2 linked regions of the Coturnix japonica genome follow. The protein of the gene in region 1 binds, or shares a complex with, the protein of each later gene. Links are inferred from orthologs where the notes say so. Each region holds a gene or a part of one and is shown on either strand. Other genes may lie near its edges. The genes, in order: PAXIP1 and histone H2A.

Region 1 (15,616 bases):
TTGCTTTGGTTCACTATTTCACATTCAGAAACGTATCTGAATTAAAAAAAAAAAAACAACATACCATTTTCTCCATTAAGAGATGTGCTCTTTTCACAGGTCTTTACATCAGGTTTTAGAGCTATGCTCCCCCTCCACTGACAGGGAAGGGAGGACATACCAGGTAGGTCTGTCTGCCTGAACAACTTAAAGCCATTAAGAAAACCCATTAACCAAAAAATAACTCCTTTTACTATTATTATTTTTTACTATTGCTTCTAAGCAATAAATGGCATTTGGGGAAAAGTGCTATTTTCTCCCATCCCATATCATACTTTTAGTCTCTGAAGTCACTTATTTTGTTCAGCCCAGAGAGGAGGTGGCTGAATTTTGTCAGCCTAACCAAAGGTCAGGCTGGCAGAAATTGCTCTTATCACCATGTAACTCCTTACTACTTAGAAAACAAATGGTGAATACAAGGATAAATCACAGTAGCTGAGGAACCCAGAGCCAGCACTAACAGGCAAGAAGCACAGTACTGACCTCTATGGGACTTCACTCATCTTGAAATTTACTCTGTGTTCTTACAGCTTGAATTTGTCATTTGCTTAAGCATCTTGTTGAACTGAGGCATAGGGGGAAAAAAAGGCAACAGAAATAGTGGTCAAATATCAGGTGGATTTAAATTCTAAGCCATAGCACAAACGAGATTTGAAATTAATAACTTCTCTGCAGTCAGCTTTGCAGAAGCTAAAAATAGCTGCTTACCTCCCTTTAAGGCAACAGTGAAAAACCTTCCCTGTATTACAGTTCTGCATAGAAATACAAAGTGTTAGAAGAAACAGCGTGATAAGCAATTGTTTTAAGTAAGCTTTATCTCCTAAGTCTTGGATTGTTCTTAGAATGGCTCACAAGCTGCTATGACACACCCAGCACTATGCAGACAAGTGAATATCTGCACTATCCCACTAGAGTTTAATGGGCTTGCTGATCAAATAAATGTTTTTAGGACAATTTCCTTCTACCAGAATCAGAACTAAAAAACATCAGATTTATTTAGAACTGTGTGTGAGTCAGGAAGAACAACTGAATATACATTTTTAATATTTATTTAGTAAAACTCACTATACAAACAAAGCTTATCACAACAGCACACTATGTGGGGTTATAGTTTCTCCTTCCTTCAAGCTTTTCTTTTTCAGTAAAAACTCATCTATAAATTTTTAACAATTTCCCCTTTAAAGCATTGGGTTTTTTATATATTAAAACATACCTGATAAAAATAAGTTCAAAATAAGTTTACATTGCTTGGAAAAAGATTTGAGTAATTTACTCTTACCAGAGTGCCACTGTTGCACAGTATTCAAAAAAATGAACCACCACTAAAATATAGAGTAAAACATTTAAAAGTACATTTATTTAAAATGTGGGCAAAATATCAATATAAAAGAAAATAGAGTATAAGAAATAAAAATAAAGTACAAAACATTTTCATCTTCAACATCCATAATTTAATAGACAGCAAGCCCTTTTATTTTTACACCCAAATTACACTTTTGGCTGAAGTACCATCATTAACGTTAAAATGTTTAAAAACTGGCTAACTGTGATACCTAAAGGGGGATCTTTTAAAACGGGAGTATAATACAAAACATAGTAAATTATGTTTCCTCATAATAAAATTACACATCCTAAAAATGATGCAGTTTATTTTTGCTTCCCTGCTTTAAACTGCTCTTCATCCCTAGGCAAACAGCTGGAAAACAGCATCCACAGGAAGTTTTAGTTACTTTGTACAATGGCTGAATAGTTAGATTTAATGCTCCATGGGCTCCGAAGCACTAAGGCAGTTTACTATTCCTTCAAGTAAATTTATATGTACGTGTGTTAAGAAAGAACAACTTTTAAGAAATGACTGTAAAACAGAACTTTGACAAGTATAAAACACACCCATAAAGATACAGTACCCTTTACCTGGTCCTATAATGCACTTATCAAACAAAGATTATAATCTTCCTTACTAAAACCTAATTGTCAACTACAAATTACCCATGCAGATACTTTCCTTACTGACACTTATTTTCCATGGTTGCTTAATATTCTACTATTGATGCTTTCTGAGAACCCTGCACCCCATCTCCACTAAGGTATTTTCTATTAAAAAGTAACCCCAGTTGGAGTTTAAACTAGGTTTCCGGGTGTTAAGCTGTGCTCTTATCAAGTAAACACTGCACAGCCTATAAAAACTTAGAACTTAGTTAGTCCCTAATTAAGAAAAACTTTTGTTTTCCTTAGGCAGCTGATAGCCCGCACACAAAAAAGGATATGATTCATAATCCAGTGTTTGAGTAAGTACTCCAGTCAGGACAAATTCAGCATTGTGGACATCTGGAAATATCAGAAACATGCATACAGTTAAACTCTTACAAAGACGCTTCTTCCGCAGGCTCATCAGGAGGAGCCATTCAGTACCTTTCTGCTCTTCATGCAAAGGCAAAAGGGAATATGGCCCCATCACTACCAGCACCCTACTTTTAGCCACACACTTTATACTACAGATACTACCTTCAGAACGTATGGTTTACTGATAAACATGGCATGTCTTTAAGCTCTAAACTGAAAACCTCCAATCTTTAACTTGACAATCATGCATCACACAGGACTGCAACCCCACGTTCAATATTACTCTAGCAGAGATTTGTGGTGACCTGGCTAGAAAATATGCATATTAGAAATACCTAGGAATCAGCTGGCTCAGACTTCTCCATGACCTGTGGGACTGACCACATACCCCTCTACTACCATCTGACATCTTCAACAGGTATCTGTACTTGCATTAATTTTTACTGTTATTATTTTACATCTTTATTGTTCAAATCACAATGATACGTTTATACATACCTATGCCTCTAGCAAAATATTCTCTACACAGGTGAAGGTCATTTTCACAGGAAATCAAGATTATCTCCGGCAAACTCTAAAGGAAAGAAAGCAATTGTAAGCTCAGAACAACATGATAAGATATTACCAGTAAATTTTAGAAGGCAACACTGTACACACTTTATTCTGTTTATGCTCCATGAGTTTTCGAAACGAAGGTTGTTTAGATAACACTTTTCCTCCTGCGCATTCCACAATAGCTTTCATGGTAGAAAGACTGGGACAAATTCCAGGTGTAATGTAAAAATACTTTCCCTACAAAGAGAAAAAAAGGAGCAACAAGAAATGTTATTTTGTTAACTTATGTTTGCAATATATTCGTGCTTCTTTATGGATGAACTTTAATGCAATCATTGGCTGCCCGTAAACAGCTTACAGTGGCCTAAAGCAACAAATCCAACAGCTAATGAGTTGTCTTTAATTACTGCTCATTTGCTTTCCCTAGAGGGGCAAACCTGTAATTTTTTTTAAATTTTAATAGCTTAAATATTCCTCTTCCAACACCTTCCAAATAACAACCAGAAAACCTTATATTACCACTTCTTGAAGGAAAAAACCCAAATAACTGCAATTTGTTTAGAACAACACTGCTTGCTTCGTCAAGTACAAGCATGCCCAGGGGGTTCCTAAAACCTGAGTAACTTTTAATTAAAGCTTTCGTTTTTTAAATAAATATAACTATACATTAATTACATATATTACTTCCCGGTAAAAATCATCCAGCAACTTGATTGGGTCTGATACAGATGAACAGATCACCAAGTAGATCAAGTTTGTTTATCAGCTAGGACTGAAAAACTGATTGAAATGTACTATTCAGATTTAATAATGCTTACTCGGTACAGGTTGTAAAAATACACTTTTTAGGTAGTTTGTCTCTTTGAAAAGCTCCAAGTGTTTTAAATGTTGTTCTCAAAACTGCCTACCTTGAACAGCGGAGCTACTTGTGCTCTCTTCAGGGACTCCTCCAAACTGAAGCAGAAAAGCACCTCAGCTTCAGCATCCCTCAGCACGAAGTTCTGCTCGTCTGAAAGAGTAACAAATACAGGAAAGACTGCAACACCATCATAACTTAAAATCTAACCCAATGAGAAAACATTAGTGGCTGAGTGACTCTAAATGCTAAAACAGTAATTTTAATGTGATTATAGTACCCCTTTATTAGGATGACACACAATTATTTGGAGAATAAAACAGCTCCACACTTCCTTATCTAGCAACATACACTGTTACACAGACTCCTCCACTTGCCCAAAAACTGTCTTCAAGCTCTCATACAGCCCTAAAAGAAAAACCTTTCCATCTACTTCCCCTCTTTATCCTGTTATTCAGCTGATTGTTTTTAATTGTCTTTCTTAAGTTTGGGATGGTATTTCAATCTTACCTTCACCACTCTACAAAGCCATGTTAAGCGTATTTCAAAATCAGATTTAATTCAACACAATCGAGTTCAAAGAGCAAAAACAATTGAATATTAAGAAAAAACTGGTCTTCCCAGGGACAGCTTTGACAACCTGCAATTCTTTGCCACATTCTCCATCATTATGTTATGTACAGAAGTAAAGGCAACCCACAAATGAACTACATTTCAGTAAACAAGTACTACATCAAAACAGTCATCCTTTTAAATCCCCAGACCTTATTTATCCTCTAATAGCTTTCAAATGGACTGATTTCTCAGTTCTCTGACACTGAATCCAGAAAGTTGCTGTCTTCAGATTAATACAAATGTTTGCTAATTTACTGGTTAGTTATTCACAGATTTAAATCTTTGTGATCGAGGTAGCAATGTTACATGCTTGCTCCTTCCAACCAAATTACATGAAAAGCATTAAACAATAATAAAGCAAATAACCAGCCTTTTAAATCTTCAGATCCAGCATCCTTTTCAAATAAACTGTTTTGTTATTTACAGATGTCAGTCCTGTGACAGCTTTAATCATACCAACATAACCTTCTACCTTAATCGAAATACAAACAATTTACTAGTCTAACAGATTTAAACTTAGCACGTAATCCTCTGTGAGTTCTGAACTACGATGGTCAGACTTGCTATAAACTTAAAAACCTCAGCATTCAAAATGGAAACCTACAGAGAATCTTCAAGAGACATTAAAACTCAAAATCTCACAAAGAAAGGGTTTTTAAAGCATGAAGGCCATCTTCACACACTAAAATCAAACAACCTTAGGTTTATAATACGAACTGATCGCAGCTTAGCTTACCAACAAACTTCTGGCATTTGAAACACTCTTCTAACCAGTCTGGAGTTACGATGTGCTTGACTACAGATATTGCAGTCAGGAACTTGACAGTGCGGGTCACTTTACTGGCAATTAGGTGGGTGCATTTCTGGGCAGATTCTGCTACTTCACCCCCAAGAATATACAGTTTCTGAAAGTTGTAAAAGAAATACAAATCAGAATGGAACAGTTGTTACCAATTGGAAAGAACAGAATATGGAATCATAACGTTGCCATCAAACAAAACTAAGTTCTTCATGAAACAGAAAATGTAAGAGGTTTCTGTATTGTAGGAATTCATTTACTAAGGGTGATTAATGAACAGAATTTACAGCTATGGAAGATCCAGCTATTCTCAGATATTAATTACATCTATCTAAAATGAGAGCTATGTGGTACTGCTTTACTTTTTATACAAGATAAATAATCAACAGATACAAGTTAATTTTGTGGGGGTTTTTATGGGCTGAAAATGTAATGATTTTGCTCTTTTCCTCTACAAAATGTATGACATTCACTGCAGTTTTGGTAAACCTAACTTTGCTACTCTTATTCATAGAGGACAAAATTTCCTTGCATGAAAGCCACATATATTTTACATGCATCTGTTTCTTATATATTTTAGATGATACTGAATAACTACCACTTTTTTTACTAAGTCTGAATTACCAAACCCAAACTACCTCATCAGAGTTGACATCTCAGCTAAGATGCACATGATTTTTAAGCATTAAAATTGAACATAAGAGGGTGATTTTATTACATCAGACATCAGATGTTAACAAAGCAAGAAGGCTCACTGCATGCATTAGAAGCCCTGAAATATGTCTGGCATCCCTCTGTACTGCTCTGATAGTAACAAACAAGTTAGACAGGGACAATGTTTTAAGCTTTTCCTTACTGTGCTGGCTTGTTTTGACAGCTTACATCAAGATGATACAAAAAAGTATTATCCAATACACTGCATCTCTCTACTGCTAAACTCCTCTGAGATATGCAAAAACACACTGTGAATACTAAAGTTGTACACACTGAAATGTACAAGCTGTTGTTTTCATCCATAATATATATTCACCTCAAACACTGTATACCTGTGAGTACCTTACAAGATTTGCATTCTGATTTCAAGGATCCGTTTGGGCGTATAGGAAAAAAAAGACAATCTCCAGTTCAAGAAGATGGGAGGTATCTTGCCTCAGGAAGGTATTCAAACACTGACACTTTTAATGGTATTATCCCTGCAACATTTGGTTTCAACATTACAAGCCTTGAGGCCAAAAATTTATTTGATGTATTTGTGAGCCATAGCTCTAATGAACATTCTTCATACAGTCAACTTGGTATCAGCATGACAGAATGGGGAGAAGACAATGGAACTTGAGCTAGATAAACTGAAAAATTATTTATGTTTCAAAGTTCTATCAAGCTTCAAATAAAAATACCATAATGGAAAAAAAACTCAAAATTCCAACTACATGATCATACCTAAAGTATTTTTCAAGAAGAAAATAGGTTATTTGGGGTATGCTTAAGTGACATGTACTTCTAAGAAACAGAGAATCAAACTAGTCTTCATTTGCTTTGGCTTATCTGGAGCAGGTGAAAGCAACAAGATGTTTCACGCCCTACTGGGGTCAGCAGTTAAAAAAAAAAAACAAATCACCACCTCTGTGTCTCAAATTTCAGCCAACGTGTGACAAATCACAAATGAAAAACTATTTTTGAACTAATACTTAGTGATTGTTAAAGTTCAAGGAATGATTGGATTTTTACATCATTCAGTTTTGGGAGCTATTTAAGAAAGATCTGAACAAAACTTTGGAACATATGATCTCAAGTGTGCCATTAGTTCTCCTATCAGCTTCCTCTGAAGCATGTGAGATTATATGAGAAGTAGTCTGGGTCCTATCTAGTACAGTAATCACTACCTTCCTCACCAAAGTTTGGTTGTGAAGTTTGCTGATTAAAACAAACAACAGAAAAACAACAACAAAACATCACAAAACATGAAAGGGCCTCGTCTTTTAAAACAACCATAGTGAAGAAGAAGGTAGCAGAAAAGCATGAAGTAAACTAAAGCAGGAAAATTATCAAACAAAACTGATTTCACATAAATCTACATTCTGATTTCACTTGCAGTATCAGTTTTTATTCAAAAAAAAGCAGGCTAATCAAGTCTTAGAAAACAAGAACACAAGTGCTTCCACATAGTTTACAAGAGGTAAATGCAAAAGTCACCTTAATGTACTGTTGAACTTGCATAGGTTCAAATCCTGTGAAGAGCACCATTGGCGTCAACTCTGGTGTAAGCTTTTTAGTAGGCGGTGGTAGGTCTTCAATCCTACAAAACGCATGAAATACAGCACAATGTAAGTCCGAGTGAAACACTGTCTTACTTTAAAAACAGACAAGCACACTCCTGCAAATTTTAGGAATGAAAATACAAAGATGAATGAGAATCAGGCAGGATCAATCTTCTAGATAAAAAAAAATTGTTATGCTGAGAACAGAGCATTTTCTCCTGATTCTGCTCTCTCCCAGTTCTCTTCCTATTCTGCTCTTTAGTTACTATTCTATTTCAGCCTGTTGAATAGCTGGCAATATGCAAAAAAAAAAATGCTACTAGTTATTTCAATTAGCAGGGCATGGCATGGAACCAGAATGCTGAGCAGTTCACAGTTACAAGGTACAGTAGTGAGGGACTATCGGCACTGATTGTTCTTACCTGGCTCTTTTGGAAGATGGCTGAAGACTGGATTCATTTTGCTTTGGTTTCAAAGGCAACCTCACACCCTGAAAAAAGACCATCTGTATGTTTACACCTGAACTGAGCAGGGAGCCCAACTTCTATTCTGAAACAGGAGAACTGTACAGCAGCATTCTGAGATCATACTTCAAACACAGAAATGATAAAGACATGCTAGAGAAGGCATTAAACACACAAACTCCTTAAAAGAAAATTAAGATTCCTAATGGACTATAATACCAATTCACAGGGGACTGCAAGTGTAAGACTGTTTTGAAGCTAAAGTCACAGTAAGAGACACAGAAATAGTGGCTACTTTTAAAGCTGAAATGTAGTAAGTCAACAAATTATACTAATACTTTAAATTGGATCTGGGTACTAATTAAGTTATTACAATTATTAAGCACCTGTCTTTAGGAAAGTATACAGATGGACTGAGGTATGCAAAAGGCTAGATCGAAGCATTTTTGTGTAATATAAAATGTTATTGTGTTAGATATTGACTCCAAAATACAAAGCCTCTTCTAAAGGTCTTATGTAAAAGCAAAGAGTTAAGAACTAGGCCACGATATTTCCAAAGTAATTTTGTATAATACGCTGCAGTTTCTTAGTTCCACAAAAGATTATTTTTAAGATTTATGCTAACAGACAACTAAAAGCAAGTGCCACCAAGACAGTTTGTGTGGGTTCTTCAGGCAGGTCTCCTCACACTAAATGCACACGTGCTCAGATGTGAAAAACACTATGCAGCAATCTAACACAAACAGCTGTATAACTAAACATACCATTAGAAGTTCTGGTGATACCTTTAATGGGACTCTCCAAGCATCTACAAAACGAAGAACACCACAGAAGTGCACAATTATTTATGGTAAGGATAAAGATGCTTCTCTTGATTAAACAGGTTTATATAAACAAATGCTACAGATCATAGAATTCTGGGACACTTACCCAGCAGGTTTAGAACTAGATGTTGACTAGGAGAAAGTGGATCTTGAAGACTGAACACTGTATATCGACTGTGCTGTATCTGCCGTAAAGCTTCAAAATTTCCCAGCAGTATGTCACAAAGCCACTGTGCATTTACACATGGTATTCTCCATTCTTTGGCTTTCTCATACTTCAAGCCACTGGGTCTTATCATTCAGAGATGAAGAAAAAAGGTTTTAATAAAACAGATACATAGCATTTATACTTATAGACTTAAATATCAGTATTTCTTTGTTGGCCAGTTATCTATTTTAATAATAAAGCAGGCAAAAATACTTTTGCTCTACATGTTAAAACAAGCAATATCAATTAGCAGAGAACTTCTGCCTCCCAAACACAGTTTTCCCTCCTCCAGCACTTAAAAACAATTATTCCACCCTCCCCTCCCAACCCCAACGTAATTTACTTACTGACAACAGTTAAGATCACTTGCAAAATAATCGAAAACAGCACACAAGAAATGACTTTCCTTTTGCCAGTTTTTAAGCCAAATTTAAAATAGAAGCACACAGCAATTATCTTCAAGAAGCACCATCAATAAGTTTAATGCTTTCCAATCACGAAAATAATTAAACATTCTTAGATGTGATCAGTACTTCACAATTAGAAACACATTAAGTGGTAAGAAGCAACTGAGGATGTGAGCACTTTGGAGATAAACCACTTACTCTTTACAGATGAGAACTGTGTTGCTGCGACATAGATAGCCTGTGTATTTGGCACCTGCTAGGTACGCCATCAGTTTGAGGTCATCTCTGTCACTATCAACAAATCCTGTCACAGAGATTATCTACATACAGACAGAAAGACAGAAATAAATGAAAGTAGAAGGTACTTATGAAACATCCCTGTTGAAAGTATTTCTATTTTAATAACTTTTTAAACGTATTAATGAAACATACATCTTAACTATGGTATGCAGGCACTTAAATATGGCTTGTTGCATACATAACATACAATTAAAAACCAATCTGTTTATACATATAAATTACAGGCTTCTTACCTTTGTTATCATTAGATAATAACCAAATATAACTTTTTACCCACTTTCCTTACACTTAGTCGTATCAAGTTTTCATTTTTTGCCATTCTTTCTTTATACTTAAGAAATTGCCAATTTTGTTTTAAAAGCAGCATAAAATGTTAGATGCACTGTCTCTGAAGACGTAAGAGGTTTGGATTCCTGTCATGTCGCTATGAATAACTCACATTACCTTTGTACCTTTCCTCCTTCTAAGAGAAGCCTCAAACATCGGTGTTAAATATTTAGCTCTCAGAGTTCAGCAAGATGTGCAGAGCACTCTGGATCATATGGTAGTATACCCCCTATCAACATAAGACTAAGATTATGATAAGTTTTTACTGATACGACAAAAGAAACGTGCATTTTGCTTTGACTAAGCACTTTCTAGCTACAATTTAATAAAGCTCGTGTAATGAAGCGAGCATTCTTTAGAGGTAAGCTTTTCCTTCTTACATGCTGAGAGCATGGCTTTCCTCCTGGTGGAAACGCCACTGGAAAATGAAGGGCTCGATGAGGTGGCACCATCTTCTTCTTCTTCAAGATTGAGTTCAGCCAGTGTGCAGTAATACACCTCTTCCTTTCTCTAAGTGCCTATGAAGATATGCATAAACAAAAGTTGAAATACATCTTCATTTCATTTCAGACTTTTTCTACAATATAAATCTTCTATTTCAGTGACTGTTTTTCTGAGCATTTTCATGACCCTGTTTCTCACAGAACCTTACTTAGTGCTATCTGAAATAAACTACCACACACATTATTAAAGCCTGTCATGTTACAAATAAGAAATGATTTAGAGAGGTGGGAGGGGGGGCGTGGAATTAAATAAAAGAGTGTATCATGGCAAGGGAGACTTTTATTTTACACTTAAAGCATTAAGTACATACTGAAAACGCCCCACCTTTTCATTAAGGGAATAAAAGCAGGCATTTCAGGCTGTCCAGAGAGGCTGTGGATGCTCCATCCCCAGAGGCATTCAGGGCCAGGTTAGATAGGATTCTGGGCAGCCTGATCTAGTGGGTGGCAACCCTGCCCACAGCACAAGGGCTGGAATCTGATGATATTTAAAGTCCCTTGCAACCCACACCTAGCAATGACTTAGTAATACAGGTTACTAATTTGCTTACCTGAGCATACATGTTACTGACTTGACTTTCACACAGAAGATGTGTACATCTGCTTGTAAGCGTAGGGTCCACAGTCCCACCATGCGTTTGAATGATCTGGGGAAACAACAAAACAAGAAGTTACCAAACAGTTTTAAAGTTATGCTAAGAAACAAACAGTCTGAAATGAGGTCTAGTGTTTAGGAGATTGAAATATTTCACTGAAGAGTTATCCCTCCTCCCCCCAAAAGGCTTGTTATCTAGTTTCAGAGCTTCCAGGGGGGAAAAAAAAAAGGAAAAAACAAAATTAAATATGTACCTTTTCAATGAACTTTAAAAAGTTTAACTTTATAAGATGAAAAAAATATATATGTAAACAAAAATAATCTCATTTTTTATTTTTGCAATATAACTATTAAGCAATTTTTTCACGAACTATTCAATTCTATCTCAGCAATAAACACAAGTGCTGTTAAAAACGTCAACAGCTTACTTGATTATGCAAAATTGTTGGGAAAATTCAATTATAAAATCCATCAGAAGTTTCTGAAGAACATCAAAGTCCTCTCATTTAGGAAAGGATACAATCAGATTTTTCTGAAAAATAGAAGTTGGCAAAAAATAGAAACACTATTCCTTTATCTTATTCACCCAGGTGGATACCTCATAGCCTACTAAGTGCCAAAATTATATGCAAAAAAAATTATTCAATTAAGTCAGAGTGCAATACTATATTACATTTGCACTATATTACATTAACTGCACTACAGTTGTCTAATTAAAAGCATAAACAGCTGGGAAACAGTTAATGCTCTAAATTAGCTAACGCTGTGAGTAAAAACCCAATTCAGTCAAACTCCACATGTAAAGCATTTATTACTTTTTTTGGTCTGCTGTAGTAGAATGATATTCATTTAAGTTAGAACATAAACATTAAACAAAATGATATCTAAATAAAAGTGCACAGAGCCAAAATATTTCCAGTTATTCCTTTAAGGATTCAGTTACTATGAGAGCAAGGTTATGACAGTTCTTTGGAAATACAGTAGAATCTTACCCGTTTCCAGGTTGCTAACAGCTGTTTATCAGACATCTGTTCTGGGTAATCAGCAATTGCAAAGACACAACCCAGCAGGAAATAATCTTCTGGAACTGGAATAGTTTGGCACATAAAAGAAGAGACAATTAAATACTTAGAAGTCTGCAGAGTTCATCTCAGAACACATTCACTACATTAATCTTCACTATTACCAAGTTAGAAACTGAATTCAACTCTGAAGTAAAGTCTTGTAGAAAAAGCAGGATGCAAAAATGAATGCTGAGAGGAATATACAGATCATCTATGATCAAAACAATTAAAGAGCTTTCAGTTCCATTGGCATGAACAGAATTCAAAGCCAGATGTAACAATTTTTTATATGATGCTGACTCCCCATTAGTTTGGAGCCAGCATTTCCAAAATTTAAGCTACCTTTCCAGTTGTTACCCTCTTTGAAAGCTTCTCCATTCCCCTCTTTCAACTGAAGGACATTACAATATGCACAGGCCAATGTTGCTCTCACAGCATAATTTATATACTTCATGCCACAGATACTTCTATACTTCATTGCATAGATTTGAAAATAAGAAGTTTTCAGGACTCTCATGCTTTTCAGGTTTCTGGACATTGTTATAATTTAAATGTCAGCATGACAATTATTAAAACAGGTCCTGAGCCATGAACAGAGTTTAAGTATTACATTGCCATATTGCAAACACAGAGCTGTTTTTAGTTGTTGTTTCAATATTCTAACCCAAATACCATCATGCCATTAACCATTTCTTTCCAGAACCAGAAGGTAATGTTACTAACTCTCTACTGACGGATCATGTCCAAAGAGTGGCTGCTGCTGCAGTTGTGTCTGCTGCTGCTGATGGTGCTGCTGCTGCTGGGCTACAGCTTGATGCTGTAGTGCTTGAGATGTCTGAGTTAAGTGCTGCGTTGCCTGATTCTGCATTTGCTGTTGCTGATGCTGTTGGTGTAATCTCTGTAAGTGCTGCTGTTGTAACTGTTGCTGCTGAATTTGTTGCTGCTGATGCTGTAGCTGCTGTTGCTGGAGGTTCTGTTGCTGGAGCTGCTGCAACTGTTGCTGCTGTAGCTGCTGCTGCTGCAACTGATGAAGTTGCTGTTGCAAAGCATGCTGCTGTTGGAACTGAAGCTGCTGCTGAGGACGGTGGAGCTGCTGTTGAGCATGTAACTGCTGCTGAGGAAACTGAAGCTGCTGCTGTGCAAACTGGTGCTGCTGATGAACTTGTTGCTGTTGCGAAAATTGATGAGTCTGTTGCTGCTGGAAAGACTGCTGGGATATCTGGGGTTGCTGCTGCTGCTGCAACTGCATAAGTTGCTGAGGTTGAAGATGTAAAAGAGGATGGTGCTGTTGCTGCTGTGCTTGATGTGTCTGCTGCAATAAATGTGTCTCTGGTGTTAGTTTCACTTGACTAAACAGCACCGCGTTTGGATGTCCCTGTTGACTATGATTTACTTGCTGTTCTAAACTTTTTGTAGGTGCTGAAAGTGATTGTAATATCTAGAAAACAAAGATTAGTTTTGTGATCTTTTTGTTGTCATTCAGTTTTTAAAGTATATAAACAACTACTGGGAAAAAGCTCTCTTAACAGAATCTTATACTTAAATACATACTAAGCTCAAGAAATAACCTTAAGTGCTAATAGTTTTCCCAAAGTAAAAAGACTTACACGCAGAGAAATGGATATTCTTGATAATATGCATTATGACGGTTAATTAGGTATCAGTAATTATACTCATCAGCTCGACCAACTGTAATACTCGATTTACAACCCCTTTGGCCCATTAAGTTCAAAGTTGAGCTCCATAGATTTTCTTTTACTTCAAAATCATTAATAAAGCTGCCATTAATTAGTGCTGTTTGAAACATGGGAGTTTAATGCAAGCCTTTGTTCTCAAATATATTCAGCTACATTTTAAAAGATGTGTCCCAAAATAAGAAAGAAAAACATGGATTTTCTCAGCACTAATAGTTCTTGAGAGAAAAAAGATACTCAGTTGATACAAAGTACTGAAGTAATTTGGAATTTCATTTTTAGATCTATAATTAACAGAGCAGAAACAAGTTAGCAAGAGGAAACGTTAGCAATGAGAAATCTGGGCAAATTCCTACTAAAGTCAGCTATTAAAAACCAGAAGGCAGGTTCTGAGTATCGCCAGAGAAGGAGGAAGCTTGTTCCTGCATTCTGCCACCCCTACAGTAAAGAAATCCTGGAGGGAGACTTAACCTAGATGGAGGATAATTTAACCAAGCCAAAGGGAAGTTCTATGCCAGAGGGTCAGATTAAGAGAGATAGGTAGATACCAGAGGGATCTGCCTTCCATGAGGCAGTTTCACAACTCTCAAAAGCAAAGATTTCCTCCAAGTACTGGAGCTAGCACCTTAACTCATACAGCAGCCAAGCATGGTACCTGAAAACAGCTCTTGTACATCACAGTCCTTGCACAGAACAACTGAATCACATCACCAACTGCCTTGTGTCTGCATAAGCATTAGTTGTGCAAAAACACTGATGTGAGGCCACTAAAGAGTATTTTATATAGTACAATGACCCTGCTGTAGACAACATTGTAATTAGACATGAAAGAACTGACCACCCTATCAAAATTTTGGCTACTCTGCTCATTACTTACCCAGAAATCTCACTCCTTCAGCAGTTCAAGGCACTAAAAGGAGGAATTTGAGTTTTACAAGGAAGCCAGCACTTCCTTCTCATACAGGCAACAAAGAACCAATGTTTCTGAGTGCCTCCCCCTCCTGTGTTTCCTTTGAGTACCACCTATAATGTTGTACATTATCCAGGGCCTTTGAAATTTTGACTTTCAGACCAACATCTCAATATTAATTCAGCAGAATAATTAAAGTTATGCCTATCATTTAGCAGCACCTGCTTTTCCCACATTCTCTTTCCATAAACAGGATTTCGACGCTGCAGGTTATTTCAGTGCATGCTCACACAATTTTTATTCTCCTCTAAAAATAATCGCAGCTTTTGTGTCGAATTTATTTCAACTACGAGTGTCAAAAGAAGTCGTAAATTAGGACTTTATCATAATCCTGACTATGCTGCCTAACAACTTAATGATGCCCAGCAGAACAGAACAGAATAGAACTGGACCTATTATAAGAACAATCAATTTTACACTTTTACATGTTTATACCACTAATAATTCCTTGCACTGAATAAGAAGCTTGAAGAAGCTTCAAATTAATTAACCTTTTATTTTCCCCAATGCTGATATACTGGGAAACTCTAAACCAAGCCATAGTTAAACACAGCTTTACTCAACTCTTTTTCCCCATGCATTCTTACTTCCATGAACCTGCTAGGAATGAAGATAATTATTATATTATAGGGAAGTTACTAATGTGGCAACAACTTCTAAGTGGCACATTTAATTTCTTGTACTACTGGAGAATAAAAGGAAACTTAGGTTCTTGGAAATATTAGTTCCTAATAACAGGTCCAATATCTTATAAACAAAAAATCCAACACTTACATGCGCTACATTTGATGGTCT
Region 2 (14,923 bases), on another chromosome or scaffold:
CAAGCTGCCAGCCCCAGTTCTGCTCTCTAAGTATGCCATTTAAAACTCCATACGTGAGCCAACAAGGAACTATCAGTGACAAAGGAGATCTCTTCCCTGCAACACAGTGCCCTGATACTCAGGCTCAGCATCCTTACGTTAGGCTTTATCAGATGGATCTCATCCACTGCTCTCACAGAGCTCACCAATGTATAGTCCAAGCTGCAATCTCTGAATCAAACTATGGACCCAGCCCACGACTTTCCCCCGGGTTTACCACTTCCACGACATGGACATCAACAATCCCCATACAAGACTGACTGCAGAGAAACCCCACATGACACAATTCAGAATAACAAAGCCTTACCATGCTGTGGCCCGACTGGCCCTTGCACGTCACACCACTTATATTTGCTGCTGGTGGCAACTGAGGACCCTCTTCAAATGTGATCTGGACTGAACTCTACAAAGAGAACTCTGTTAGCTCCCAGCGGACAGGGTATCTCAGGCAGATTTAGAGAGGATGGGCAAGTCTAACATGGGACCCCAGAGACGTTCTAGTCCAATTCCATGAATCCAACCAGCACACAAACACGACCACACTGCAATTCTGGCTTGTCCAGAGTAAAGAAACCCTATCTCTGGTTCAGGCTCACAAACACGCAGCACACCGAGCGCTTGCTCCGGACAGTTCAGTGCAGACTATACAGCCCCTGACAAGCGCTTGGCGAGGTCTCTGCCTTCCTCAAAGCCCGCAAAGGGGGGACGGCGCCGACCGAATCCGACGCAATCCCCCTCGGCTGCACAACGCCCCCGGCCCCGCCCGGCCCTCAGTTCACCGGCCCCCGCCGCACCCCGCCGTACCCCGTGCCGGCGCGCCTGGCCGTTGAGGGCTCGCACCCAGGCCCGCTGCCACTGCTCCCGCAGGGACCGGAGAGAGAGCAGCGCGGCGAGCAGCGCCCGGGCCCCGGCCTCCTCCGTCACCGGCACCCGCCGCCGCGACGATCGCAGAGCCGCCGACCGCCAGTACTGGAGCAGCCAGGCCGCGACGGTGAGCAGCGAAGCGGCGAAGAGCAGCACCAGCACGGCCCAGCCCGGATCCGGCCCCATGTTGCTGCGCGTTGCCCTCACGGCAGCCCGGGAGGCATGGCGGGCGGCCGCTGCCCGGCCCAGCGGTTACAGCCTCCTGTCCGGTCACACGGAGCGCAGGGCCGCCCCGGGCCCGATGCCGCGGTGCACGTGGCCCGAGCCCGGCCCGGCGGCGCCGCGCGCCGGCAACGCGCAGCGGCACCGCGACCCGCGGCACGAAGGAGGGCGGCCGCCCCGGTTCTTCCGGTGCCGGAGCGACGCCTCCCCGCGGCCTTGGCGGGACGGCGCTGTGCCGCTGCGCTCCGCTTCCGTTCGGGTCTGCGGGTCTGCAGCCACCAGCATTTATGTCCAGACAGCCTCGGCGCTGTCCGGAGCGAGGCAGAGAGTAGAGTGAGGCGGAGAGTGCGGCAGGGAGTGAGGCGGAGAGTGCGGCAGGGCTGGGCTGTCGGATGAGCCCGGCCCTCTTCCACCTGTGCTGACACACACACCCGCGCCCCGCTCATCTCCCGGCTGCAGCCCGCTGTCTCACACCTGCACGGTGCCATTTTCCACACAAACACACCTGGGAAGGGTTTTCTGGCTCAGGAAGAGCCAAACTAACGTGTGTTTATTTCTTTATTTCTTTATTTTCTCCCCAACACTTGTTTTTCCCCCCACAGCGCCTCATGAAGGCCCAAACGAACGCGGATTTGTTTCTTTATTTCAGGGTGCGGGGAGGAAGGAGGAAGCGCCGTGTGACGGCGGAACGGGAGGAGCGGCGGCTGCCAGGGCCAAAGATGGCGCCGCCCTCACGGACCGAACGGAAAAGGCGCGCGCGTATCCGGTCCGTTCCGCTCCAGCATCCGGCCGCCCGGACCCGCCCGGAGCCGCTCCGCGCCCGTCGGGGCAGCGCCCAGCGCGGCCATGGCGGCGTGTCCCGCCGCGCCGCTCCTCATCAACGTCGGGGGGTCGCTGCTGGGTTTCGTGGCCACGCTCACGCTGATCCCGGCCTTCAAAGAGCATTTCTTGGCGGCGCGCCTCTTCGGCGAGGACCTGAACAAAGTCTCCCGGCGGCCCATGTGAGTAGCGGTGCCCGCCGGGCCCGGCCCGGCCCGCCACGTCCCGGCTGACCGCTGGCCTCCCCTTCCTTGCAGCCCCGAGGCGCAGGGCATGATCAGCGGGGCCGTGTTCCTCATCATCCTCTTCTGCTTCATCCCCGTGCCCTTCCTGCGGTGCTTCGTAGAGGAGCAGTGCGCGGCCTTTCCTCACGACGAGGTAGGGCTCCCGTGTGCCTGCAGCGCGGCAGCAGGGAATGCCCGTTAGTGACCGGAGCCCCGTTCTCTGTCCCGCAGTTTGTGGAGCTCATTGGCTCGCTCCTTGCCATCTGCTGCATGATCTTCCTGGGCTTTGCAGACGATGTGTTGAACCTGCGCTGGCGTCACAAACTCCTTCTCCCCACCATGGCATCCCTCCCACTGCTCATGGTGTACTTCACCAACTTTGGGAACACAACCATTGTGGTGCCTAAGCCTTTCCGGGCGTTTCTGGGCATGCACTTGGACTTGGGTAAGCGCTGACTGACTGATGGTCGTTAGCAATGAATTAAGGAGCACATCTCAAACTTTAACACTTGTCAGTCTCTATGCTGCAGAAGGAACCTGTGGAAGATTTGTTAATTATTCATTGAGAGGGAACATCACCAACTAAATATCATACTGGCAAGATTAGCCATCCAGAGATCCAGCAAGACGTCCAGCATATATATGCTGGATATATATATATATATATATGCTGGATTTAGCTAGGCATAGATAAGTACCATGACTTTTCCCAGGTTTCTGGCAGTATGAGAGTGCCAAAGGCCCTTGGCCCTCAGATGCCAATAGCAGCATCGCCACGGTTTGCTGCTGTGTTGCACATTTGCTGCAGTCACTGTGCTGTACACGTGTACATACGATAACATGTACAGGAGAAGGAACTGTTTGCTAGTACATTTTGAAATCAGTAGCTTACTGAGACACTATATAATGGATTGTCCTACAAAACAGGAAACTACAATTTCAGTAAATTGGACCACAGCCTGTTTCAAAAATGAATGCTAAAGTACTTGCCTCGTTCTGACCTGCAGGTATCCTCTACTATGTGTACATGGGCATGCTAGCAGTGTTTTGTACTAATGCCATCAACATTCTCGCTGGAATTAATGGGATTGAAGCAGGGCAGTCTCTGGTGATTGCTGCTTCCATTATCGTATTCAACCTTGTAGAGTTAAACGGTAAGGTAATGCTTGGGAGTGCAAAAAGCAAATGGAAATAAAAACCCAGATTTCAGTAGTTGGCGTAGTTAAAAAGAACCTAGTCCTGTCTCATCAGAGCCTCGGGTTTTTTTAATTTTTTTTCCTTTTTCTCCTGTAGGGGATTATCAGGATGATCACATTTTCTCTCTCTACATTATGATTCCGTTTTTTTTTACAACGCTGGGGCTGTTTTACCACAACTGGTAAGAGGATGAACATTCAGCATTCCTTTGGAAGCATATTCTTTTTCCCTTTGCAAACAAAAACATCAACATGTAAGCAATATACTGGGGTATAGACAGGCTTCTTGCTAGAACTAAGAATGCAAAGCAGCAATCCACTGGTATCTTTCATGCACCAACCTTGCCATTAGGAAATGTCTTCAGGTGGTCATGAAGCCAATTATACTGGCAGCACTGATTATGACAGACCTTTTCTCTTTTGCCTTGTGGATTGCAGGTACCCATCCCAAGTGTTTGTTGGGGACACCTTCTGTTACTTTGCTGGCATGACCTTTGCTGTGGTGGGGATCCTGGGCCACTTCAGCAAAACAATGCTCCTTTTTTTCATCCCACAAGTGCTTAACTTCCTCTACTCATTGCCTCAACTCTTCCACATTATTCCTTGTCCCCGCCACCGACTGCCAAGGTAATGTACCTGAGAGATCTATAATGGTACTAGTTTATGCCAGCTGAGAAACAATAATATACGTTGGTTGGTGCTCTTTTTAATATCTAGTTTTTTAATCTAATTTAATATAATCAAAGTAGGTTGGATGGTTAAAAGTTGGCCAGCCACGCTATTTATGGTTGAATCTATCAGCACAAGTTTCTCAAATAAATGTACTAGAAAAGAATACATTTTACATACTGTAATATGTACTAGAAAAGAATACATATACATACTGTTAAGAGTATGATTATTCTCAGCTACAAGACTGAGATAAATGGATACAGGCCGTTCTTACTGCTGTTGCATTAGGATTTGCTAAGATCTTACAGTAGCAAGCATTCTGCATCACTGTGTATTATCACTGATTTTAATTATGTCTAGATATATTCAGTTCTTCTAACCTTGCAGCTTTATGCATGTGTTAGGTAGAAGAGGAGAGGAATCTTTTATTGACTGCCCAGTCTGAGGGACCAAGGTGTGAGCAGCTGCTCCTATACAATATCAGAATATCATTACTTTCTTCACCAGTGTATTTCTTTCTCAGCAACTTGGCTTGAGATATAAATCTATTTACGTAGGGATCACTGTCTCTTTGCTCTTTCCTGACTAAGACTTTATCGTTCCTTTTAGGCTCAATGCTACAACAGGGAAGTTGGAGATGAGCTACTCCAAATTCAAAACTAAGAGCCTCTCAACCCTGGGAACATACATTCTGAAGGTAATAGCAGGAAAACATTCCAAAACTAGGCATGTTTTGAGGCAGGAGCAGCAGGATAGGAGGGAAGGCAGAACTTCTGGGTTCAGTGGTTATTTCCTGGCTCAAATCGAGAAGAACACATTATAATTAGCTCAGTCACTGTCTCTTGCAGTCACTATGTTAACTACATCTTCATAATTACTCTTCTAAAACAACCACTTGCAGCAATTGTCCTAAGACCATCATAAGCCTATCCTGTTTCTTTTGTAAGAGTCCAAGCCAAACTACTGGAATGGTACAACAAAATGGATCTAGCAAGAAGCACCAAACATACCTGATGAAATGGCAAATGGCATGCAATATTTTTTTCCCCAGGTAGTAAAGATCTTGCACATAGTAGATGTGAGGAGTGGAATGGATGAAGATGGTGAATACTCCGAGTGCAATAATATGACGCTTATTAACTTTGTTATAAAGCTGATTGGACCCATCCACGAACGAAATCTCACTCTCCTGTTGCTGCTCATTCAGGTCAGACAAACGTTCCTGGTAGCAAAGAAACATATTCTGTGATAGAAGTAGACCCAGATTTGTCTCAAGAATATCTAGGGGAAAGGGGGATGGGAAGTGTCACACACTTTACGCAAGATGCAATTAAGGTTGTGCAACTTGAGAGTCTGAGGTTTACACGGCTCCAGGAAGAAGCTGTCCTTTCTTTCAGTCCCCAGCTTCCTTAACTACGAGCTATTAAATTTTAAGGCCCTAGATTAGCTTGAGAAACTCCTCAGAGCATGAGTGCCTGGATGCTAGAAGAACAGCTGGAAAAACAGCACTGTGTTCTTGCCTTGTCACTCTAACACAGCACAGCCTTTTATTGCAGTTCTGTGTTTCAGTCATACCAAATAACAGTAGTACCGGTGTTATCTCCAGCTGGTGCCCTTACGTAAGTGTGGCATGCAACTCAGTGGTAGCTGGAGTTTGAGTGTGGTGTGGGAACATTTTGAAGCAACTCAGAATGCAAGAACATACCTTGCAGATAGTGCTGCTACTCCTACTCAATGCGTGAACTCTTACCTGGTAGATGTTTTGTTTCAGAAAAGACGTAGCTTAATTGCCTACAATTCCTTCTTCAGTGTCAGTTCAAAGGTAAGAGTTTCTCCTTAGGAAAAAGCACTTAAATTCCCCTTCCAACAGAAGACTTCCAACAGAGAGAGCGGGGCTCGGGCCAAGTACATCTTTGGCAGAAGGGAATAGGAAGCGCATACAGCTTGGTCTTGAGTCAGGTCACAGTGCTACATAGTGAACAGGCCGTGTATTAAAGCACATCAAATCCATCTGTAAAGGAAGAACCTGCTGACCAGTGAACTGTCTGATGTAAGGTTTCAGATTCAGGTTGGTTATTACTGTGATTTATTTGTCTGTTTTTAATCCTAGGTCCTGGGCAGCATGATTGCATTTTCAGTGCGGTACCAGCTGGTGCGCTTATTTTATGATGTCTGACTGAGCTTCCAGGAGCGGCACCTTCCAGTGAACTGTACTAAAACAATTCAATTCATCTGATATTTTGATCTGAAAACTTGAAGCCACCTTTCAAAACACGAGGAACTGCTCCAGGCCGGCCTAGAATCACAGTTCTCTTCTTATGGACAAAGCGTCTCTGTCCTGTTCTGCTGACAGTCAGCACTGCTTGCATGTCCTTGCTACCGGGAACACCTTTCAGATGGGAAATAAGCAACACGAATCTGTACAGAGTCCTTAGGGAAAGCAGGAGAAATGGAACGTCTAAATGTAAGAAACATGTTGCTGTTCCTTGAGAGAAGAAATAAGAACTGCAGCGTCTGTGAGGCTGTACGGCAGAACAAGTGAGCTGGAATTGCCCTGTTGGCTCATGAATGAGTCCATGGATGCAGAATGACGTGCTGTAATCGTACCTGTACTCAGGGCGTTCTGAGAATAAAAGAACTCGAGGTACATTGCCATCTTCGGTTCTGCCTTGCGGACATTGACGTGCGCTGTGACATGGCCCCGCCCCCTGCCGGCGCTTCGCCCCGCCCCCCGCTCACGTGGCCCCGCCCCCTCACCGTACCCGGCCGTGAGCGCCAACGTCCGCCGCGTGGTACGAATTTGGCGCCTTGTCTTCTGATTGGTCCGTCGCCGCCGCCAATAGGTGGGAGGTGAGCGCCAAGCCAGCCAGTCAGCAAAGAGGTTCAGGCGGCAGAGCTCCAATAGCGAGGCGCTGTGGCGCCGTCCAATCAGCGCGGCCCTGCCTTGAGGGAGGTTATAAAGCGCCGGGGCGGAGGCGCGTTCCCCTTGTCCCGCCGCAGAGCTCCGCAGATCCGCGTTGTGTGTCCGGTCCCTGCGAGGCGCCATGTCTGGCCGCGGTAAGAGTGGCGGTAAGGCCCGAGCGAAGGCCAAGTCCCGTTCCTCCCGGGCCGGGCTGCAGTTCCCCGTCGGGCGCGTCCACCGGCTGCTGCGGCGCGGCCATTACGCGGAGCGGGTCGGCGCCGGCGCCCCGGTGTACCTGGCGGCCGTGCTGGAGTACCTGACGGCCGAGATCCTGGAGCTGGCGGGCAACGCGGCCCGCGACAACAAGAAGACGCGCATCATCCCGCGCCACCTGCAGCTGGCGGTGCGCAACGACGAGGAGCTCAACAAGCTGCTGGGCGGCGTCACCATCGCGCAGGGCGGCGTCCTGCCCAACATCCAGGCCGTGCTGCTGCCCAAGAAGGCGGGAGGCGCCGCCAGCCCGGCCAAGGCCGGCAAGAAGGGCGGCGGGCAGCAGTCGCAGGAATACTAGGCCGCCGGGCCGGGCTCCCCTTCCCCCACCAGCACACAAAGGCCCTTTTCAGGGCCGCTCCATTGCTCACCGGGAGAGCTGCGATCCGAGGGAAGGGACGGCCGGGGGCTGCGGGAACGAGGGGGAGCTGCGATGGGAGCGGGCGGGAGGCACGGCGTGATACTGCAGTGCAGTCACATAATGCAGATACGTGATGCTCTTCCTAAAGACACCTGGTGCTCACAACGTGACTGCTGCATTCAGCAGACATTGCACAGGAAATAAACGATGCTTCAGCTCCAAAACCGGAACCCAACAATGGGTTATTCTGATGTTTCTGTAAGGCACTGCAACATGGCAGTGCAACACGATGGTTCAACCATGAACTAGAGGCAAATTTCTTATGCTTCAGCACAAAGATTGCCAGTTACTGTATATCAATGCCTGTCCTCATTCTACATCTATGTAGTTGCACTGGGAACCTAATGCTGATCTCCTTCAGCATTCCTGAAGATACCAGGGCCAAATATCCACAATTTCACTAGTTTAGCAGAAAACACTTCTGTGCTGTCAGCACAGTGCAGCACTCCAGCACTGCCCCTGTTTAGTCTGACTATAACCTGTATTTGGTGCTTTGTTACTAAATGCAATTGGAGAACAATTGCTACTACATCTCTCCTCGCAACAAAACCCTTTAAACGCGTTTCACAGAGATTTTACAACTCAGGTAAACTTAGAAAAGCAAAACTCCAATTTAGTACTTCAAGTATTTTATGCCCAAATGTCAGACAAGGCTGGTGCAAGTGTTAAAAACGCTTCCTCCAAAAGCTGGTAAGTAGCTGCAAAGACTGGAGCAAGAGCTGCAGCAATCTTGCTGATCTCACAGAGGCTCAGCAGGCGTCATTCAGCTGCCGTGCCACACAAAGGATGTGCTTGGCTCCCTTGCTCAGCAGTAAATCAGCCAGTTCAATGCCAAGGTTCTCTGCAGCTTCCTGGGCCTGAGCAGGGACGTTCTTGGCTGTGATGCCAACATGCTGCACATCATCATTTGGTCCATCTTCATTCTGCAAGTACAAACATCAAAGTAAGGCTGTGGGAAGGAATGGGCAATAATAAATAAATTAAAACAATGCATGAAACCAGATATCTCATAATTGATATAGATGCACAGGGGCTATAAGGGACCTCAGGAGATCAACCAGTCTGACTCCCCTGAACGCAGGCTCCCTGCAGCAGACTGAACGGGAAACCATCCGGGAACGTTTCAAATATCTCCAGCAAAGGAGACTTTCCTTCACCTCTCTGGGCGAACTGTATGTCACCCTCCAAGACATGTTTTTCCTTATGTCTGTATGGAACTTTCGGTGTTCAGTTTGTGCCCACTGTCCCTTCTCCTACCGCTCTGTGCCACCAAAAAAAGCCTGGCCTCAACTGCTTGACTTCCATCCTTTAAGTATTAACAAGCATTGCTAAGATCCCTCCCAGCCTTTCTTCTCCAGGCTGAACAGCCCCAGGTCTCCATGTCTTTCCTCATAACAAATACTCTAGGCCTCCATCACCTCTTTGAATTTGAAGTCCAACATGATTTGCATACCTGTTGTGGATAATTAACGCTGGTCTGCATTGTTTCCTTCAGGCTTTCAGATCCATCCAAACTGTAGACTGCACCTGTCAAATATAACTTTGAAAGACAGAAGAGGTTAATAGCACAAAACCAACCCAGAAGGGAACACTTCTGCAGTCCAGTCCCATCAGATAGAACGGCAGTCTGATACAATGCAAATAACCCCTGCTAGGGAAGACACATCTTCCCAAGAAAGAACCTCAATACTTTCTAGCTTTCTACCTACTTAGTTCATAATCTGCTGTATAAATTCACTGGAGTCAAAAGGAAGAGTCTGAGATCTCAGGAGATTTTAGAAAAAGGGGGGGGTGGAAAAGGAAAATAAGAATCTATCACAATAAGGGTGTTTTCTAGGACTCAGCCTCTCATTCTCAGACCCATTCTCATTCTCCTGCTTTGAACAATATCCCTATCTGCCCTGCTCAGTTGTAAAGACATCTGCTGAACCGAACATCAGAGAACATACACACAGAAAGTTTTCCATAAATAACCCCAGATACACACACAAAGATTCCTCACCTGGCCATCTTTCAGCATGGTGTTCACTGCAACAGGGACACTACAGCCACCCTCCTGCAAACAGAAAGACATTGCTACTGAGTTTCCTCAGCACATACAAAGCAGAGGCCTCAGAAATGTATGTTCTGCACACAGCCCCAGCTATTGCTGTTCAAGCACTTCACAAGTTCTCCCTACTCGGCAGTTTTAATATAAAAGTGTAACAGCCTTCCCACACCACGCCATCAGCTTAACTGCAGCAGAGCAGTATTTGCTGCTGCAAGTAGAAGGGCAAGGATGACACACGTACCAAACGTTTCATGAAAGCCCTCTCAGCAATGCAGCACAAAACAGTCTCTCCATCGTGTAGGGTTGATACCATATTCAGTGTCTCTTGGTCTTTGGCACGAACCTCCACCGCTAAAGCCCCCTGCAAGACAACAGTAACAGCAGAACTCCTCAACTTCAGCATCTGTGTGCACCCAGCACTGGTCACGAAACACAACTCAGAAGTTTGGATGTGTTTCACTGAGGGAGCAGTGTTTAAGTTCAGAGACTTTACAAAAATCATTCAAGAAACAACTAGTTCCAAGATATCCTGAGGCAACTGCTGTAAAGGGAAGCTCAGAACTTAGATGAGTACTGAAGATCAGTCACCTGACATCTATTAGCTCAGCTTCCCTCTTGTGACTACACAGATACAAACACCTGATCTGCTGTCACAACAGCATAAGTTGAATAAAAGTAAGTTCTACAGCCTCGTCCAAAGATAACAGCAACCACAAACCGATTTGTTCCCAAACAGAAAACAAAAGAAAAAAGCTTTGTACACGACAAGGACATGATTAAAACCAACACTATTTCTGGCTCACTTTCCACTTTCATCTGGTGACTACCTTCAGTATTGTCACAGGATAACTCTATAGGTGTCACTGCTCACTGTTTCCAACCTCTAAGTAACACAGCAACAGCTGTTCACCAATCAGGAATTCATCCAGTCTGGGAAATAACTGCATTACATTACAATAATGATTGCACTAAGAAATGCATCGCCAGCTCAGTTTAGCAAAGTTGATACCAATTACGCAACACTGTGTAAATTCAGCCACATGACCAGCACAGGCTGGAACAATCCACCTAGAAACAAGAATGCTAACAACACGCCTCAAGGCAGATGCTTCAGTTCCAGTTGCCAGAGTAAGGACACTGCATGTAAGGGAGTGTCACAGCACCCACACTGCAGTGCCTTTCTACAGTGAGCCCAGCAGAGCACAACACCGGCCTGCCTCGTAATTGCAGAGTTGTCCCAGGGCAGCTGCACCACACATTACCTGTACCACCGACTATTTCTGTGGTTGACAGATATCAAACCTGTTACACACAGGCTCGTGGAGCTGACTTAATGTTCCTCACACACACTGAACATAAGCAGACTAACAGGCTGCAACACAAATCACTGTAATTCTTCTTTGGCAACAAACAGATCAGAGGCATTTGGTTGTCATGTTCACCACGTGACACATCACACTGCAGTCAGGCTTAACATAGAAAAATTGGAACGTACCTGTCCCACAGCATACAGACAGTCCTCAGGGCTCAGGAGCTGGAAGAAAGTAAAAACAAAGTTAAGTCATGTCGCACTATTTAAAACAAAAAGAAAGAAGGCGCAAGTGTGAAAGTCAAGCAGGTGATGGGATTTCCTACTTTGACTCTCACCTGACCAATGCGATTCTCCCAGCCCATCCTCTTCAGCCCTGCAGCAGCCAGGATTATAGCACTGAAGTCTTCCTTCTCATCTAGCTTCTTCAAGCGGGTGTTTAAATTCCCTCTCTGTACAAGTGGTTAAGTAAGTAGAGAAACAGTATGCAAACAGTTGTACAATCACTTCGCATTCACTTAACCGTGCTTAAAACCTCCAGATAAGAATCAGTTGTGGAATCATTCTGAAAGTGCTAAATATGGACAATTGTTTCTTTGAATAGAATTCTGCTGATTATTATGAAATATTGATACAAGTAAGCACTCTCAAAAAATACGTGCCATTTAAGTGCATCATTTGTATCTGACATCAAATATTTTTGCAGATCAAAGAACTGGGTTACTAGGACTGAGGTAATAATGTGTTTTACCAGCACCACTTTAGCGGCACACATCTAAACTAGCAGTCCAAAACACATTAAAGGTATCATGGACCAATCAGCATTTGGCTGCCACTTTGACAAACACAAACTGACCTCCACTAAGCAGCCTTTAGAACATTCCTGAACATGAAACGCATCAGCACCTTGAATCGCAGATAGATTAAAGCTGGGCTGTTTCTTTGTAGAATCATGAGAAAACAACAGAACAAAACACACTACAGGATAGGTTACAAGAGGCAGCCTTTGAGGAAGTTGTTCTGGCCGGACAGGTAGTATAAATCAACTTTGTCCAGATTCCACACTTTACCATTAAAGGATACGATATCCCTGAATTCCAGCTGAGGAAACTTCTTTTTGAGCTGGGCCGCTCGCCGAAGTGAACTGGTTCCAATAACACTGTTGGGAAAATTAAATCAATGAAATCCAGAATACAGCAGAACTTAACTTCACTCGAATATATGTCAGAAGTTTCAAGAAAGATTTCTGCTCCTCCAACCCCACTAGGATAGAAACAAAGCTCCAAGAACCCACCAGCTGGGTGAGAACAAGAGAATGGACATGCAGGCTAGAATGCTGCTCTGAACACACTGCCTGCACTGTATGCATCCTCCTGTAATGAGCACTACATGAAGGACCTGATATTCACTCTGGAGACTGAAGCAAGGAAGGGTCTCACTTAAGAAAGTAATACATCTCAAAGGTGGTTAAAGACATCCAAACTCAGTTTACAACATTCTCATTAGCATAGCTCTCTTCAGCAAGCAGGTTCACTGTAATGTACATTGAAAACCAGCTGAAGGCAGCACAAAAACCACTACAGAATAAAGGAAGAAGCTCACTGATTCGTCACTGGGAAATATGAACGAATCCCTCCTTTCTATTTATTTATTTATTACACTTTACTGTCTTCCCCTTATCCCTACTCACCTCTTTTCAGGAAGAAGACTGAGCGTTTTCCCACAGTTTTTGGGATGAAAGACAACAGCATCAAGTGGGTTCTCTCTTCTGCAAAAGAAGGGAAGAGGAAAATGACAGACATCATTTAACAGAAGGCTATTTACAGGTATCAGTCCCCAAAGGAACCATCCCTAGCTCCAAAAGGCTTCTCCTTTTTTAACAGCAAGGATTTTCAACAAACCTGCTGGCTACAGAACACTGGTTCTCCTGCTGTTTCAGAGAATAGTCAAAGGTCAAACAACAAAGAAAATCTAAGCCGTCATTTTCTATCATTATCCACACTGCAAAACGTTAAGTCCCTCAGGCAGTCAGGCTTTGTGCACATACTTACTTGCAAATAGCACCAATGGTAAAGCCAGGAGGAAGAGAAGTTGGCAGGTCCTTCAAGGAGTGAACTACCAGGTCAACTCTATGAATTAGAGAACAGTAATCACAACACTGAGCAGATGGTTGGGTGATGCAGTGCCAGAGACCTACAGGTAACAACAGGAAAGTGCAGATTCATTCTTGAGATTAGTTTAGAAAAGAGAAAGAACATTCAGAACTCCATAGCCAGAATTACTACCAGACTTACACAGCAATTCTAAAGAGCCACGTCACTTTTCTCTACCTTTTCTAGTATGGAAAACACTAATAAGCAGTAAATATGCTACGCAGTGTGCTAACATGGAACACTGAAATACAGTAACAAAGTAGTACAATAAAGAACGCGTTTGCAAGCATGGATTAGATTACACGAGCTCTGAGACACAAGTAACACAAATCAGAGGAGAAAACACAAAAAAACAGGGCAGACTAAGAGTCAGAACAGTACGACTCCAAAACGGGGCCTAAATCAGGGTACGGAGTTAAAGGAAAAAAAGAAGAAAAAAAAAGAGAAATATGTTGTATCAGAGGATTTCTTCCTTACTCAGAAAGAACAGAAAGAAACAGATCACCCTTACAGCATATAACAATAATAATAATAATAATAATAATAATAATAAAAATCCAGACAAGTAATAAAACTGAGCTCTTACTCATTTCTTTCAAGTGCATTTTCCAGCTCTTTGGTAAAGAGGTTTTTCTCCCCAATCTACAAGTAAATAAAGAAATACAAATCAATGAAGAAAATCTGCAAGTATATCATCAAATACTATTAGTTCTTTGTGTATTTTTAATTAATTCCCACCTGAAATAAATCCTTTACCTTAGAAAGGGCTGTGTCCAAGATCTTGTCTCCTATTGTGGACATGGCAACTGCTCAGAGGACACAAAGCAGAAGGCACGGTCAGAGCACACTGAATCTCCTTCACACCCAACGAGCAGAACACACTGCCACACTGTGCAAACAGCCTCCAGACAGATTCAGCTCACTTCTAAGGTTATGTTGGAAGTGAAATTGAGACTTCTTTTACATCTCAAACAACACAAAAGCAGAGAAGGCAGGTTTTGGGAACAGCCAACTCTAAAGACATTGCCCAGATTCTCAAACCGAGCAATGTAACATCATCTGTATGACAGATAAAGGTCCCAGTCAACAGGAGCTTGTCTAATCAATCATTCTCCATTGGAAAATAGCAGCAGCAGCTGCTCAGCCATGCAACCTAATCGAATTCAGACCGCTCTGCCTAGATAACATGAGGAAAATTCTCCTCCTCTTGACTCTATTCACACACCTTGCACACAACAATAACTGCCTGGCTCCTACTGCCACTACATCAGAGCAGCAACAGGAGCGGAGAAATCAAACACCACTTACTGATCTCAAAGCGGAGGTCAGGGTAAAACTCCTGGAGCATCTCAACCACACTGTCAGTCTGAATTCGGGCCAGCTGCAATGAAACCAAAACAAAGCACTGCGCACAAAGCACGAGCTGCACAGCAACTAGAGGGGACTTTGTCGTTCTTTGATAGCAGTGCATGCACGACCCTACATTCTCTGAATTGTAAGCATTAGAAATGGCTCCGAATACAACAGCTCATGCGTACAAACACTTTGAGCCTGTAACGTGACCACAGCAGTTCACAAAATAACTTTTTTAATCTCAGCAGCAAAATAACCTGCCTCATATCCAGCACTGCTGAGATCCAAGCAATAACAAGTCAAAACAACAACAACGTACTGAGTTCGGCATGAATTTTGTCACTGGTGCTTTTTTAGATCTTAAAGTAGTAAAGAAATAATGACGGCAGAAGAATCAAACAAGCACCTCTAACTACAGAGTTTTAGCTT

The links.
Region 2: the proteins of PAXIP1 (region 1) and histone H2A are in contact, whole or in part, in a crystal structure (PDB 3SQD), measured with the Homo sapiens proteins. The link is inferred for Coturnix japonica from reciprocal best matches to the Homo sapiens genes PAXIP1 and H2AX. Residues at the interface, in NP_031375.3 of Homo sapiens: Phe871, Thr872, Gly873, Phe874, Pro876, Lys907, Thr909, Arg910, Thr911, Val912, Lys913, Pro986, Glu1050, Leu1053; in NP_002096.1 of Homo sapiens: Gln138, Ser140, Gln141, Glu142, Tyr143.

Annotation. Positions count from the first base shown.
Region 1 is NC_029517.1:6,805,204-6,820,819, forward strand, and holds part of PAXIP1 (PAX-interacting protein 1), read right to left. Parts: coding exon 15,596-15,616; intron 13,596-15,595; coding exon 12,881-13,595; intron 12,181-12,880; coding exon 12,086-12,180; intron 11,146-12,085; coding exon 11,050-11,145; intron 10,514-11,049; coding exon 10,376-10,513; intron 9,689-10,375; coding exon 9,567-9,688; intron 9,045-9,566; coding exon 8,860-9,044; intron 8,738-8,859; coding exon 8,694-8,737; intron 7,956-8,693; coding exon 7,888-7,955; intron 7,504-7,887; coding exon 7,401-7,503; intron 5,314-7,400; coding exon 5,145-5,313; intron 3,947-5,144; coding exon 3,846-3,946; intron 3,175-3,845; coding exon 3,040-3,174; intron 2,957-3,039; coding exon 2,881-2,956; intron 2,368-2,880; coding exon 2,307-2,367; intron 1,858-2,306; coding exon 1,842-1,857; 3' UTR 1-1,841.
Region 2 is NC_029539.1:18,949-33,871, forward strand, and holds histone H2A, read left to right. Parts: upstream 1-6,798; 5' UTR 6,799-7,080; coding exon 7,081-7,509; 3' UTR 7,510-7,804; downstream 7,805-14,923. Other genes in the region: phospholipid transfer protein C2CD2L, read right to left, coding at 347-442, 844-1,089; DPAGT1 (UDP-N-acetylglucosamine--dolichyl-phosphate N-acetylglucosaminephosphotransferase), read left to right, coding at 1,734-2,126, 2,400-2,613, 3,176-3,322, 3,462-3,546, 3,803-3,991, 4,646-4,733, 5,088-5,243, 6,147-6,212; HMBS (porphobilinogen deaminase), read right to left, coding at 8,379-8,552, 9,083-9,169, 9,632-9,685, 9,921-10,040, 11,175-11,213, 11,327-11,440, 12,072-12,147, 12,679-12,756 and 4 more. UniProt on the Homo sapiens protein: Variant histone H2A which replaces conventional H2A in a subset of nucleosomes. Nucleosomes wrap and compact DNA into chromatin, limiting DNA accessibility to the cellular machineries which require DNA as a template.